Arabidopsis thaliana: one gene and its partners. The protein of the gene in region 3 interacts with the protein of the main gene of each other region in a pairwise test. Each region holds a gene or a part of one and is shown on either strand. Other genes may lie near its edges.

Region 1 (3,756 bases), on a different chromosome or scaffold from region 3:
GATCCGTCGTAGCTGAAACTCTCGGCGGCGCCGCCTCTTTCATATCTAATGTCTTAGATTCTTCCTCTGTCTCCTGCGATTTGGTCTCCAAAGTAGGACACGACTTCAGATACGAGGTCACCCACTCTCCGATCGTGGCTCCGGAGAAGGAAACAACAGTTTTCGAGGCGTATTTCGATCTGGGAATCGATGGGATCGGTCATGCTGATCGGGTGTTGAAAAGAGTCTCTGCATGTGATCCGATTCTTCCTTCGGATATACCCGATTCGAGATTTGATTTCGGAATGGCCGTTGGAGTCGGCGGCGAGATTTTACCGGAGACGCTTGAGAAAATGGTGGAGATCTGTGACGTTGTTGCTGTGGATATTCAAGCTTTGATTAGGGTTTTTGATCCTGTTGACGGAGCTGTGAAGCTTGTTGATTTGAAAGAAAGTGGATTTTATCACATCTTGCATCGAATTGGATTCTTGAAAGCTTCGTCAGACGAAGCTCTTTTCATGGATGTTGAACAAATGAAGCACTTGTGTTGTGTGGTGGTGACTAATGGTGAAAAAGGGTGTAGGATTTATCATAAGGATGATGAAATGACGGTTCCTCCGTTCTTGGCGAAGCAGGTGGATCCTACCGGTGCCGGAGACAGCTTTCTCGGAGGTTTGATTGTTGGGCTTGTTGAAGGTTTGACTGTTCCTGATGCTGCATTGTTAGGGAACCTCTTTGGTTCCATCACTGTAGAGCATATTGGTCAGCCAAAGTTCGATTTGATGATGCTTCAGGTTTGTTTTTTGGTCTCGTATTAGCTTACTGAATTGCATGCTGTGAGAGATTTGCAAATCTAATAGACAGTAGTAAGAACTTTTAGAGCCGATGATAGTGATATGCAAATGTCTTTAACATAATCCTAGCAAAAGAACTCTGTTACATCTTGCAGCTTACTTTCAATACAGCCAAACCTATATCTTGCGGGTGAACTAGAATCTGTATTTGATGTTGATAGGTTTCCAATCTGAAAATGTGTCAAATCTTCACAGTTGTTGTTTGAGATTCTGTCGAGTCACAGCTGCTGAGAGAGTCTTTTCTTGTTTTACTTCATTGTTAATCTAGGAGCAGTTTCATTCAACATAGGGTAGATGCAGGAAAAAGTGTTGTTTAAGCATTCACCGAACAATGTGGTTAAGCAATTAGAGAATTCAAAAGTATGGATCTCTTGATGTATTTGCGAGTGTTTCTGTGTATCTCTTGTAGTTGTATCTGTTGAAATGAGGGCGTTATTGGATAATAATTGAACCATTGGCTAGTGCAAGTGAACATTAAGCAAATTAGAAGATTTATAGCGTTTGTGTTTGCACTGCACAAGGATTCATCCCTTTCATCGGTTATTTCTATGTGACATATGTCTTTGTGATTTGCAGAAAGTCAAGGATGAGGTACAGAGAAGGAAGAAGCAGTGTAACATATCTAGCAGCCATAACAACGATCACAACGAGTTCCATGAGCGTCTAAGTCCAGCTCGGTTTTCATGCGTAGACTCTCAACTTCAACCAAAGTTATTGGTCAATGGTCACTCTTGTGATGATCGGTCCCTGTGAATACGAATCTTGAATCACCTTTTTTTTACTAACAAAGCTCTTCTGAGTTGTGTAAGCTTGCTTCAACACGTTGATGAATTTTGGAAATTTTAATGTATAAAACGCGTTGACCAGCGTCTTCAAACGCTCTTTCTGGTCGTTCCCGCAAAGTTTGTTTATCAACTCCGCGTTTCAAAATTCGAAATGAAGATGTCAAATTTTGTTTTAAAAGTTTTGGATAAGATGATTTGCTATTCGCATGTTGCCACATTATCTAGTTAATATAAAAACCAAAAACAAATCTGAGATAAAATTACGAAAGTCAACGTGGGAGATCTAATTTTGACTGGTGCATAGTTGAACCGGTTCAATATATGTACAATCAGGAGGAAACCGTGTTCGGTGTTTGATTCGTGCGCGTGGATTTAAAACGTGGTCACGATCAGGCGCGTGGATTGACGTGGCGATTCCGATTCCCAATCAAAAGTCTGGACGAGCAAAAAATTTCCTCTGATATTGGCATCTCCATTACTAACTCCTGATTTACGGTTAAAACGCCTCTTCCCTCTCTCCGACGCTTCTCGTCGGAAATCTGGGTTTAAGTTTCTTCTGCAGATCGGAAGAGATTCTATTGAAGCGGCGTTGACACGATTTCATCTATAATTGTACGATAATGAAGCAGAAGAACCAGCATAAGAAGAAGAAGAAGCGATCCTGCGCCGCGAAACCTTCCGGTGATGGAACGACGTCGGACGGGAACAAAAAAGATGTGGAGGAAGAGAGGAAGGACGGTGAAGGAAAGAGGGAGATAGAAAACGTTGGAAAAAATTTTATCGAATCGTTAATGGAAGCCTTTTGCTCGGTTTCAATGGAGGAAGCGATGGCTGCTTATAAGGAAGCAGGCGGAGATCTGAACAAAGCCGCTGAGATTTTATCGGATCTGGTGGAAAGCGGTGATGATCCGTCGACGAGTTCGGTGGCGAGTGGTTCTTCGGGTCAGGAAACAGCGTCTACCTCTGAGTATGGGGCAGGGTCAAGTTCTAGCTGTAGCGAAGATTTGACTAGAGATAGATGGTTTAAGGGAAGCAAGCAGAGTAGAGTTATTGCTGCTACAGGGATGGTTTCTTCTGTGATTGCGAAGGATTACTTGAAGCCAAACCCTGTGCGAAAAGAGTTTCCTATGATGGAACGGTCTAAAGAGCTCTGTGGGAACGGGAAAAAAGCTGCGGATAGAGAGAAAGCTGAACAGTTCTTAAGTTCAATGCTTGGAGATGATTGCGAGCTTAGCATGGCTGTTGTTAGAGATGTTTTGTGTGAGTATTTCTTCTTCTTAGTCAGTTAATTTTTCCATGGGAGAAGATGTTAGTAGAAAAGTATGATCCTTAATAGTTATAGGATTACGTTTTAATGTGTCCGCGATATTCGAAATATAGCCGTAATAATGTTATGAGGAGAGACTAGATTGTTCGATGAATTGACATGGAAGTATCTATTTTTTGTAGGTCAATGTGGCTATGATGTCGACATGGTAAGCAGAGATTGTCTTCAAACTTACATGGGGAAGTATTTAGTATATTGACAGGGAAGCTCCTGAAATATGCTGATACTTGCCCGACTATTTATTTTAAAGCTTAATAGCGTTTTCTTCTTAGGCTTTGAATGTCTTGCTTGACATGTCTTCTTCATCAACTGATGATTCATTGAGTGGTAAATGTTTCGGCATAGGAGTCAGCGATAGTGTAAGTGATTGTTTTTTTTGTTAATCTTCATAGATCTGTTTATTTTGTTTTCTTACACGATAAAATAAAGTGCAATCTCCTGACATTATTTAACAGCTGGCAGAGTCATCTTTTGATACTGATACTTCTGATTGTGAACTTTTCTGGGGTGGAGACTATAGTCAAAGGTACTTCTATTTGCTTCTTAGGCTTTCATCTTGTTATTGCAATTCACTGATTTTGGAATTATCAGAGTTGATTTACACGTTAGTTACAAGATAACGAGCTCTCTGCAACCTCTCCTTATCTTTTAATTAGTCCTTATCCTCTTCTATGAAAGAACAACAAACGAACTATTTCATGGTGGAGGATTCAGTTCATGAACACATGATATCTAAATTACTCATGAGACCGCCAAAACTTACATTATGATTTCTTAATTTCAACATTGTGGACGAGGTCAAAACTAAATA
Region 2 (3,756 bases), on a different chromosome or scaffold from region 3:
AATATTTCTACATATTTCATCTTCGTGTTTTAATTCTTTATGATATTTAAATTTTAAATAGTAACCCACACACGTTTTCAATATTTAGTGTTCTAACTCTTATTTCAATCTATCTATTCTCCAAAAATATCGTTAGATAACGTAAGTTATTTTTGTTGTTTACTAAATAACTAGGCTTAAACTTTAAATATTAGTAACTTGTCCTAAATTTTTTACACAAACATGACTATAATTAATTCTCATTTATCTTTGATACTATTGAGTTTTCCCATTATAACCTTTATCTATGCATCTCACTATTTTATGTGTTGTTTGAAATCTATATTTTAGAGTTATTTTAACAAAATAAAAAGAAAAATAACAAAAATTTCGACAAAATACACAAAAAAACATATTTGAACGGTCCTTTAAAAAAAACAAATTCGCTAATAATATGAATTATTTTATTATATAAAATATAATTAAATTTTTTGATTATATAAATAATTTTTGTGATTTATGTATATATTTTATTTTCCCGATAGGGTTAGAAGATTTTTTATATATTAACAAAATTAGATTTAATACATGTCGATATCTCATCAATCATATGAGTTAACAACTTTGAAAACTCTACTTTATATATTATATATGTTTGTATTAAAATTATAACAATTTCTTCTTCTTCTTTTTTTATTACAAATAAGACCAAACCAAAATAAAAAGGAAAAAAAGAGGAATTGTGAGCTTTAAAACAAGGCATACTTCTGGGTCCAGCTTCGAGCCATGGCTTCATATTTGGTCTTGTCAGTTTTGTATATGTGAGCTATCTCTGGCACCAGAGGGTCGTCAGGGTTTGGATCTGTTAGAAGAGAGCATATAGAGAGAAGCACCTATAATACCAAAATGTTAGTAATTTGTGTTACCTATTGGAGCTTCTTGGTTATATACCAAATCTGATATATGGAATTATAGAAAATATTGACAAATAACTAAATACATATATAGAATTTCAAACCTTAGAAATGGTAAGGGCAGGGCTCCATTGGTCTTTGAGAATGTCCAAACATATGTTTCCATTACTGTTGATGTTTGGGTGAAACACTTTGGTTCTGAATACAACCTGATTTTATCAAACAAACATAACAACAAGAGTAAAGAAGAAGAAAAAGATTGAAAATAAAGATCAAAACTTAAGGTTCCAAAAGATCATAAACGATCCAATATTTAATGTTGGTTTTGTGCCTTTTGGTTATTGGATTTAAGAAGTAGATTAAAAAACAAAAAAATTGTTGAGAAAGTTGTTACCTTGGGAGGTTTAAAAGGATAATCAGGAGGGAAATGAATATTGACAAGGAAAACACCTCCGGAGTAAGGACTTTCATTCGGACCCATTATAGTAGCTTGCCAGTGGAACATATCTTCTCCTGTTGGACCTAAAAATCCCAAACCAAGGAGAAAGGAAATATCAAAATCTTTAGAAAAAATTTCTGATACATGGCTTATATTGTATTAAGAACAAATTGTGATCCTTTACCTGCACTGCATGATACAGGAGGGTCTCTTTGCAACTCCTTCAATTCTTTCAATATCCGTCTCGTTGCCATCAGGTTGCTGAGTGTTTGATATAATGGAAAGTAGCACTACAAAGAAGTATGTGAAAAAAAATATGAGTGGTTTGTGAAGAGAAGGAGAATGAGAGTTGTGTTTTTAAAGCGTGAACCGTAAGCAAAGATTTGTGATTCTCTTGCAAACAGGAATGCTTGCACTATTGCATTTATCATTGTTTAAGTAAAGATTTACCATTGTAAAGTCTCTTTTTAGCCGCCCGCTTTGCCCATAAAGGTAATGGAGAAAGATCCATTCTTTTGTTCTGATTCTGAAAGAGAGACGTGCCTTGAAGTGGATGGTCTTACGTACATGCTTACTGTAATATACCATATCTATTGAACGGTCTATAATGGGATTTGATAAAGTCTGAGAATCAGAATAACTTAACATAAAGAATGGTTATTACAATATCCTTTGTTCTTAATCTTATTGTCCACGTTCACTGGACCAGCAAAGTGATGGGTGATGAGCATCATGTTCAACAAATATAATCATAAATCATAACATACATTTGATGAGGTAAAATAGTTATTGAAAACTTATAGGACCCATTTCAAAAGTTTCTTAAGATTATAGGCCCATGTATCATTAGGAAAAAAAATTATAGGCCCTATTTACATACTTTAAAATTTTACAATAAAAAATTTACAAATCAGAGTGGCGTCGAGTGAGGAACACTCCACAAATCAGTGATGCATATATTATTTCCTTATTTTAAAGATTTATATCACAACATATCGTAGAGATCGTCATTGATCAACCTATATATGTAAATGTAAATCATTGCCTTTCAATCTAAGTATAACCTTCAAGCCTCTGTTTATTTCAGACTTATTAGGTCTTTTGAATATTGCTATAAGAAGAAACTCCACAGCTGTTAGTCCAAAGTTAATGTACATGCATGCTACGTGATTTGCCCAACCGATATTTTATGATGGTGATTACGGGAGGAAAATAATTCTCAACAATAGTTGGTCTCGATTTTTTAAAAGACGATTAATTGATTACTTAAAAAAATAGCCATTTTTTTTGTAACAAATGTTGTTTGCTTTGCTTTCAATCTTCAACCACACGGTCAACACATTTATGTATTTTACGTAAAAGAAGCATACCAAAGCTTTTACAATTTTTGCCGTTATGATATTTAAAGTTAGAAATAAGCTAAAGGTTTAAACGATGATAATCCAAATTACAGCAAAAAAATTTACTCAACTTGTAGACAAAGAATAATAACTAGATAACAGGTTACACAAATTTTTGTTAGATCTCTCATGGATTTAATCCACATTTCCACAATTAAAGAAGAACCAAAAGTGGTGTTTATAATGAACATAATAAAATAAAATAAAATCATTGGTTTCGTATGAACCATTTTTTTTTGGTGTAATACGCACCTTCTCAACATAAGCATTGGCTCACATTTCTTTTTGGTGGTGATTGAGAGAAGTCATTGTGTGTATACCCGCCAAATTAGGCTCTTCAACCAAAAACCTTAAAATTAGAAAATTCAACGAAAACAAAATGAAAGGAGGAAATAAGGAAATAAAAGGGAGAGTTATTGGAAGTTTTATTTACAAACAAAATGTGGAATCTCAAATTGAGAATACGTGAATTTCTCTGAAACCTTATGTTCTCTGCGAAACATTCTCTTATTTCATTTTCTTTCTCTAAAGTTTTTATTTCTCTGACAAGGAAGATATCCCTTTAGGTGGATTCTTGTTTAAATTTAAAAATCCTCAAGAAGAAGAAGAAGAAGAAGAAGATAGTCAAATGAAAATACATTCTTCTGATCATTCATGGCTTTTACTAGCCGTTCTCGTGATTCTCCTCTCCTTCTCTGGAGCTCTCTCAAGCGATGACAAAGAGAAGAAGACGAAATCGGTCGATAAAAAGAAAGAAGTAACTTATGATGGAACGTCTTTGATCATCAATGGAAATAGAGAACTCCTTTACTCTGGCTCCATACATTACCCTCGTAGCACTCCTGAAGTAAATGATTCATACACTCGTTAGTTAAAGTTGTTTTATCTTTAAATTTTGTTTTACTTACATTTTTGAGAATATGTGATGTGGGTTTTGCTCAGATGTGGCCAAACATCATCAAGAGAGCGAAACAAGGCGGTTTGAACACGATTCAGACATACGTTTTTTGGAACGTTCATGAGC
Region 3 (3,756 bases):
TTACAAGGGATTTTAAAAAGGTTTTAAAAGAGTTACAAAAGATTTTAAAAGATTTACAATGGATTTTAAAGGGCATTAAAAGATTTACAATGTTTTTTTAAAGATTTTTAAAAGGTTTAAAATTGTTTTAAAAGGGTTTTAAATATTTACAAGGTATTTTAAAAAATTTACAAGGGATTTTAAAAGAGTTTTAAAATATTTACAAGGGATTTTAAAGGGTTTTAAAAGATTTACAAATGTTTTTGAAAGAGTTTTAAAGGGTTTAAAAATATTTTAAAGGATTTACAAGTGATTTTAAAAGGGTTTAAAAGTGTTTTAAAAGATTTACAAAGGATTTTAAAAGCATTTTAAAAGATGTACAAGAGTTTTTAAAAGATTTACAAGAAGACCCTTTAAAAACTCTTGTAAATCTTTTTAAAACCTTTTAAAATCCCTTGTAAATATTTTAAAACTCTTTTAAAATTCCTTGTAAATCTTTTAAACCCTTTTAAAATCCCTTGTAAATCTTTTAAAATCCCTTGTAAGTATTTTTAAATCCTTTTAAACATCTTGTAACTCTTTTAAAATCCCTTGTAAATCTATTTCCCGCCAAAAAAAATTTACAAGGATTTATAAAAGCATTTTTTGGCTCAGAAAAAAATTGTTACGAAAAAAAGTTGGCGGGAATTTTTTTTTTTTGGCGAGAAATTTTTTTTTGCGGGAAAAAAGTTTGGCGAAATTTTTTTTTTGGCGGGAAAATTTCAGTTTCCAATTACATGTTCCTATTTGATGAGGGTAATTTAATCATTATGTTCAAGGGAAAGAGTATTTTTAAAAATGAACAACATGAACGGGTATTGTTGCAAAAGGTAGTAGAAAAATGATAGTTTTGCAAATCTCCCATCTTTTTATCGTATTTGTTTGTTAAAATATTTACGGTTAATTTTTTTGCAGTTATATTTGTTCAACTACAGTCGTATCTTTTCAGTTTGCGGTTGTGTCTTTATTGTTGCATCTATTCATTTAAAGTTACGTCTCTTCATTAGATTTCTTTGCATTTTTTGTCACTATTTTCGGATAAACAAAGTTGTTTATTCAAAGTCGGTTGAACTCTATATTTGTCTTTCTTCCTAACCATATTTTTGTTCATTCACACATATTATTTGCTTAATGATCAATTCAAAAACATTAATCTGGAAAACGGCTCCACATTCTTTACTCTCTAAACTATTTATAAACATACTTACATACATCATTTTAATATGAAAATAATACCTCTAGTTCTTGATCTAACCAAAGTTTTTTGGAATCTAATAGCAATAACAATCTCAATAAATGTTTTTGCATTTCTAAACGGTTGCATTTTTTATCATAACTTTTCGTTAAAATATTTAATGTTTGTTTTACAGTCGTGTTTTTTTGTCGTATCTTTTCGTTAATATATTTATGGTTATTTTTGGTGGACAGTTATACTTATTCAACTTTAGTCGTATCTTTTCGATTCTGAACGGTTACGTCTTTTTATCGTAACTTTTCATTAATATTATTTACGATTACTTTTGCGGTTGTGTCTTCTTGTCGCATATTTTTGTTAAAATATTGCATATTTTGGGAAAATTTATGTAATAATTCAAATATTTGAATATATTTATATAATAATTAAATACATAAATACTAGGCCTGGGCATTCGGTTCTTCTGTTCTATAGCCTCTTAAGATCTACGAGGGAACCGAAAAAGTTTCGGTTTGGTTCAGATACTTAGAAAGAAAGCCGAGAAATTACCGAACTCTAATAGATACCGGTTTGGTTCCGGTTATTTTACCCAAAATACCAAAAAGAAAAAAAACGAAATAACCAAATATTCGATTAACAAAATTGTAAAATATTAAAAAATTAACAAAACTCTATTGGGTTATAGGTTTGTTAAAAATGTAGTGGGCTTAGATGTAGTTTTGTATAGGGTTGACCAAATATTTTTTGGTTAGATTTTGGATTTCCATAGATATTCGGTTTGTTCAGTTATACATAATATTCAATGGATAGTGTGACTGAAATCCGTTCGAGGATATTTAGTATTATCTAGAACCGAACCGGATTCCTTTTTCGGTTTGGCTTGGTTCGGTTCTTCGGTTCCGGTTTTTATGCCTAAGCCGTTCTAACTTCTATGGTTAATTGAAGAATGTGAAATGGTGGTTAATATTCAAGAAATTTTAGGAAGCCGAAGTACTAAATTTAGATACTGAAGAAAAGAAGAAGAAGCATAAGAAGAGGCCTAAATGCCCAGAGAATTAAACAAATGGGCCTTTAACAATATTTTTAACAATCAGATCTCAAAAAGCTAAAGCCTTAATATATAAACAAACATCAATCTCTGGCCGTCAAAGGTTACATCTATCGCCGCCGCTGAGACCGCCACTTAAGGCCGTCTCCTCCGCAATCTCCGTAACCAAAACCACCGGCATCGCCTGGTAAGCTCGATTTTGTAATCATTTCGATCTCATATGATGTCGATCTGTTAAATCTTGCGAAATCGATCTTTGTTTTGTTCTGAGATTTAGGGTTTCACGAATTTGTGTTCTAGGTTTTCTGGCTTAATCATTTCTATTGTTTTTTGTTCTTATTGGTTCTTATGCTTTTGGTGACACAAAGATCTCGACTTTTTCTTGACTCTCTATGCGAATTTGTCAAAAGTCAAAACTTTGTAACAGTTTACTCTCTTTCGTGCTTGTGTTTATGTATGAACAATAGCTTCGCTATTGGGATTGTTTATTTCACCACACTTGATTAATTATACATACTATTGAAAATGTTATCAATCTTGGCGATAAAAACCGTCATTTTCATGTGTCTTAGCTCTAGTAGCACCTTTTGTTTAGAGATCCTGAGTTTAAAGAAGCAGTAGCTAGCATCTTTGGTATAGTAAATTGTTTCACTGACAAATTGTATATCATTTGGTTATAACTAGATTAGTGAAATTTAATGGATGAGATTATGTAGCATTGTTTTAATTTTGTATGGAGAGAACTGGTGGTGGGCTTATTTCCAAAATTTTCCTTTGATTAAGTCAAGACCCTTTATTTTGAGAAGTGAGAGAGAGGATTGTCTGAGTATTGTCGCTTTCTCAAAATCTTTCCGGGGCTAAGCAGAGAAAAGCTGATAGTTAAGCTTAGGAATGTGATCTTGGTCTTTTAAGAATCTTGAAACTAGTGGGTAACTTGGATCCATCGAATTTGTTTTCCGTAGGTGAGTGTTCTTTAGCCTATTTCTGAGTCTGAATTATACAGTGTAGACATGAAAATAGGTTTTTATGTGATGGACTCTTTTGTTTTATGGTTTAATGGATATGTTGAGTTTTGTTTTTCCCATGAGTCTCTTATAAAGTTGGAATTTGATTCATGGAATCTTGGATCCAGATTACTTCGAATATATAAATGAAAGAACACTTAGATGTATCAAAGGGAACTTAAGCGTGTGTACTGTTTAGTGTCTCACAACTTGGAATTTGGATTAGCGCTTTCATGTTTTGGAGTTTGATTTATATTCGTGATGTTTGGATTTGGATAGTACCTTGGTCCATTGAACTATGTATCATAATAATGCTTTGGATATGGATATCGTTTTGATGACTTACTTGATAACTGCTCATACTTAAAAAACATTTGTTCTAGAAATCTAGATTCTCGTCTATGAGTGTTTATATGTTGAATTCATGTCGAAGTCATAGTTTAGAGATCTCATTGAGCATTTCCCCTTCGGAAGAGTGAGGAGTCTTGTTT

The links.
Region 1: the proteins of AT4G08460 (region 3) and AT5G58720 interact in a two-hybrid assay, tested with the Arabidopsis thaliana proteins (one large-scale study listed by BioGRID).
Region 2: the proteins of AT4G08460 (region 3) and UBC29 interact in a two-hybrid assay, tested with the Arabidopsis thaliana proteins (one large-scale study listed by BioGRID).

Annotation. Positions count from the first base shown.
Region 1 is NC_003076.8:23,721,457-23,725,212, reverse strand, and holds the start of AT5G58720 (smr (Small MutS Related) domain-containing protein), read left to right. Parts: upstream 1-2,037; 5' UTR 2,038-2,238; coding exon 2,239-2,878; intron 2,879-3,067; coding exon 3,068-3,093; intron 3,094-3,217; coding exon 3,218-3,304; intron 3,305-3,400; coding exon 3,401-3,471; intron 3,472-3,756. Other genes in the region: Mik (pfkB-like carbohydrate kinase family protein), read left to right, coding at 1-773, 1,410-1,586.
Region 2 is NC_003071.7:7,265,710-7,269,465, reverse strand, and holds UBC29 (ubiquitin-conjugating enzyme 29), read right to left. Parts: upstream 1,745-3,756; 5' UTR 1,587-1,744; coding exon 1,517-1,586; intron 1,416-1,516; coding exon 1,288-1,415; intron 1,103-1,287; coding exon 998-1,102; intron 873-997; coding exon 729-872; 3' UTR 411-728; downstream 1-410. Other genes in the region: AT2G16730 (glycosyl hydrolase family 35 protein), read left to right, coding at 3,361-3,579, 3,675-3,756. UniProt on the Arabidopsis thaliana protein: Accepts the ubiquitin from the E1 complex and catalyzes its covalent attachment to other proteins.
Region 3 is NC_003075.7:5,379,223-5,382,978, reverse strand, and holds the start of AT4G08460 (hypothetical protein (DUF1644)), read left to right. Parts: upstream 1-2,096; 5' UTR 2,097-2,448; intron 2,449-3,756.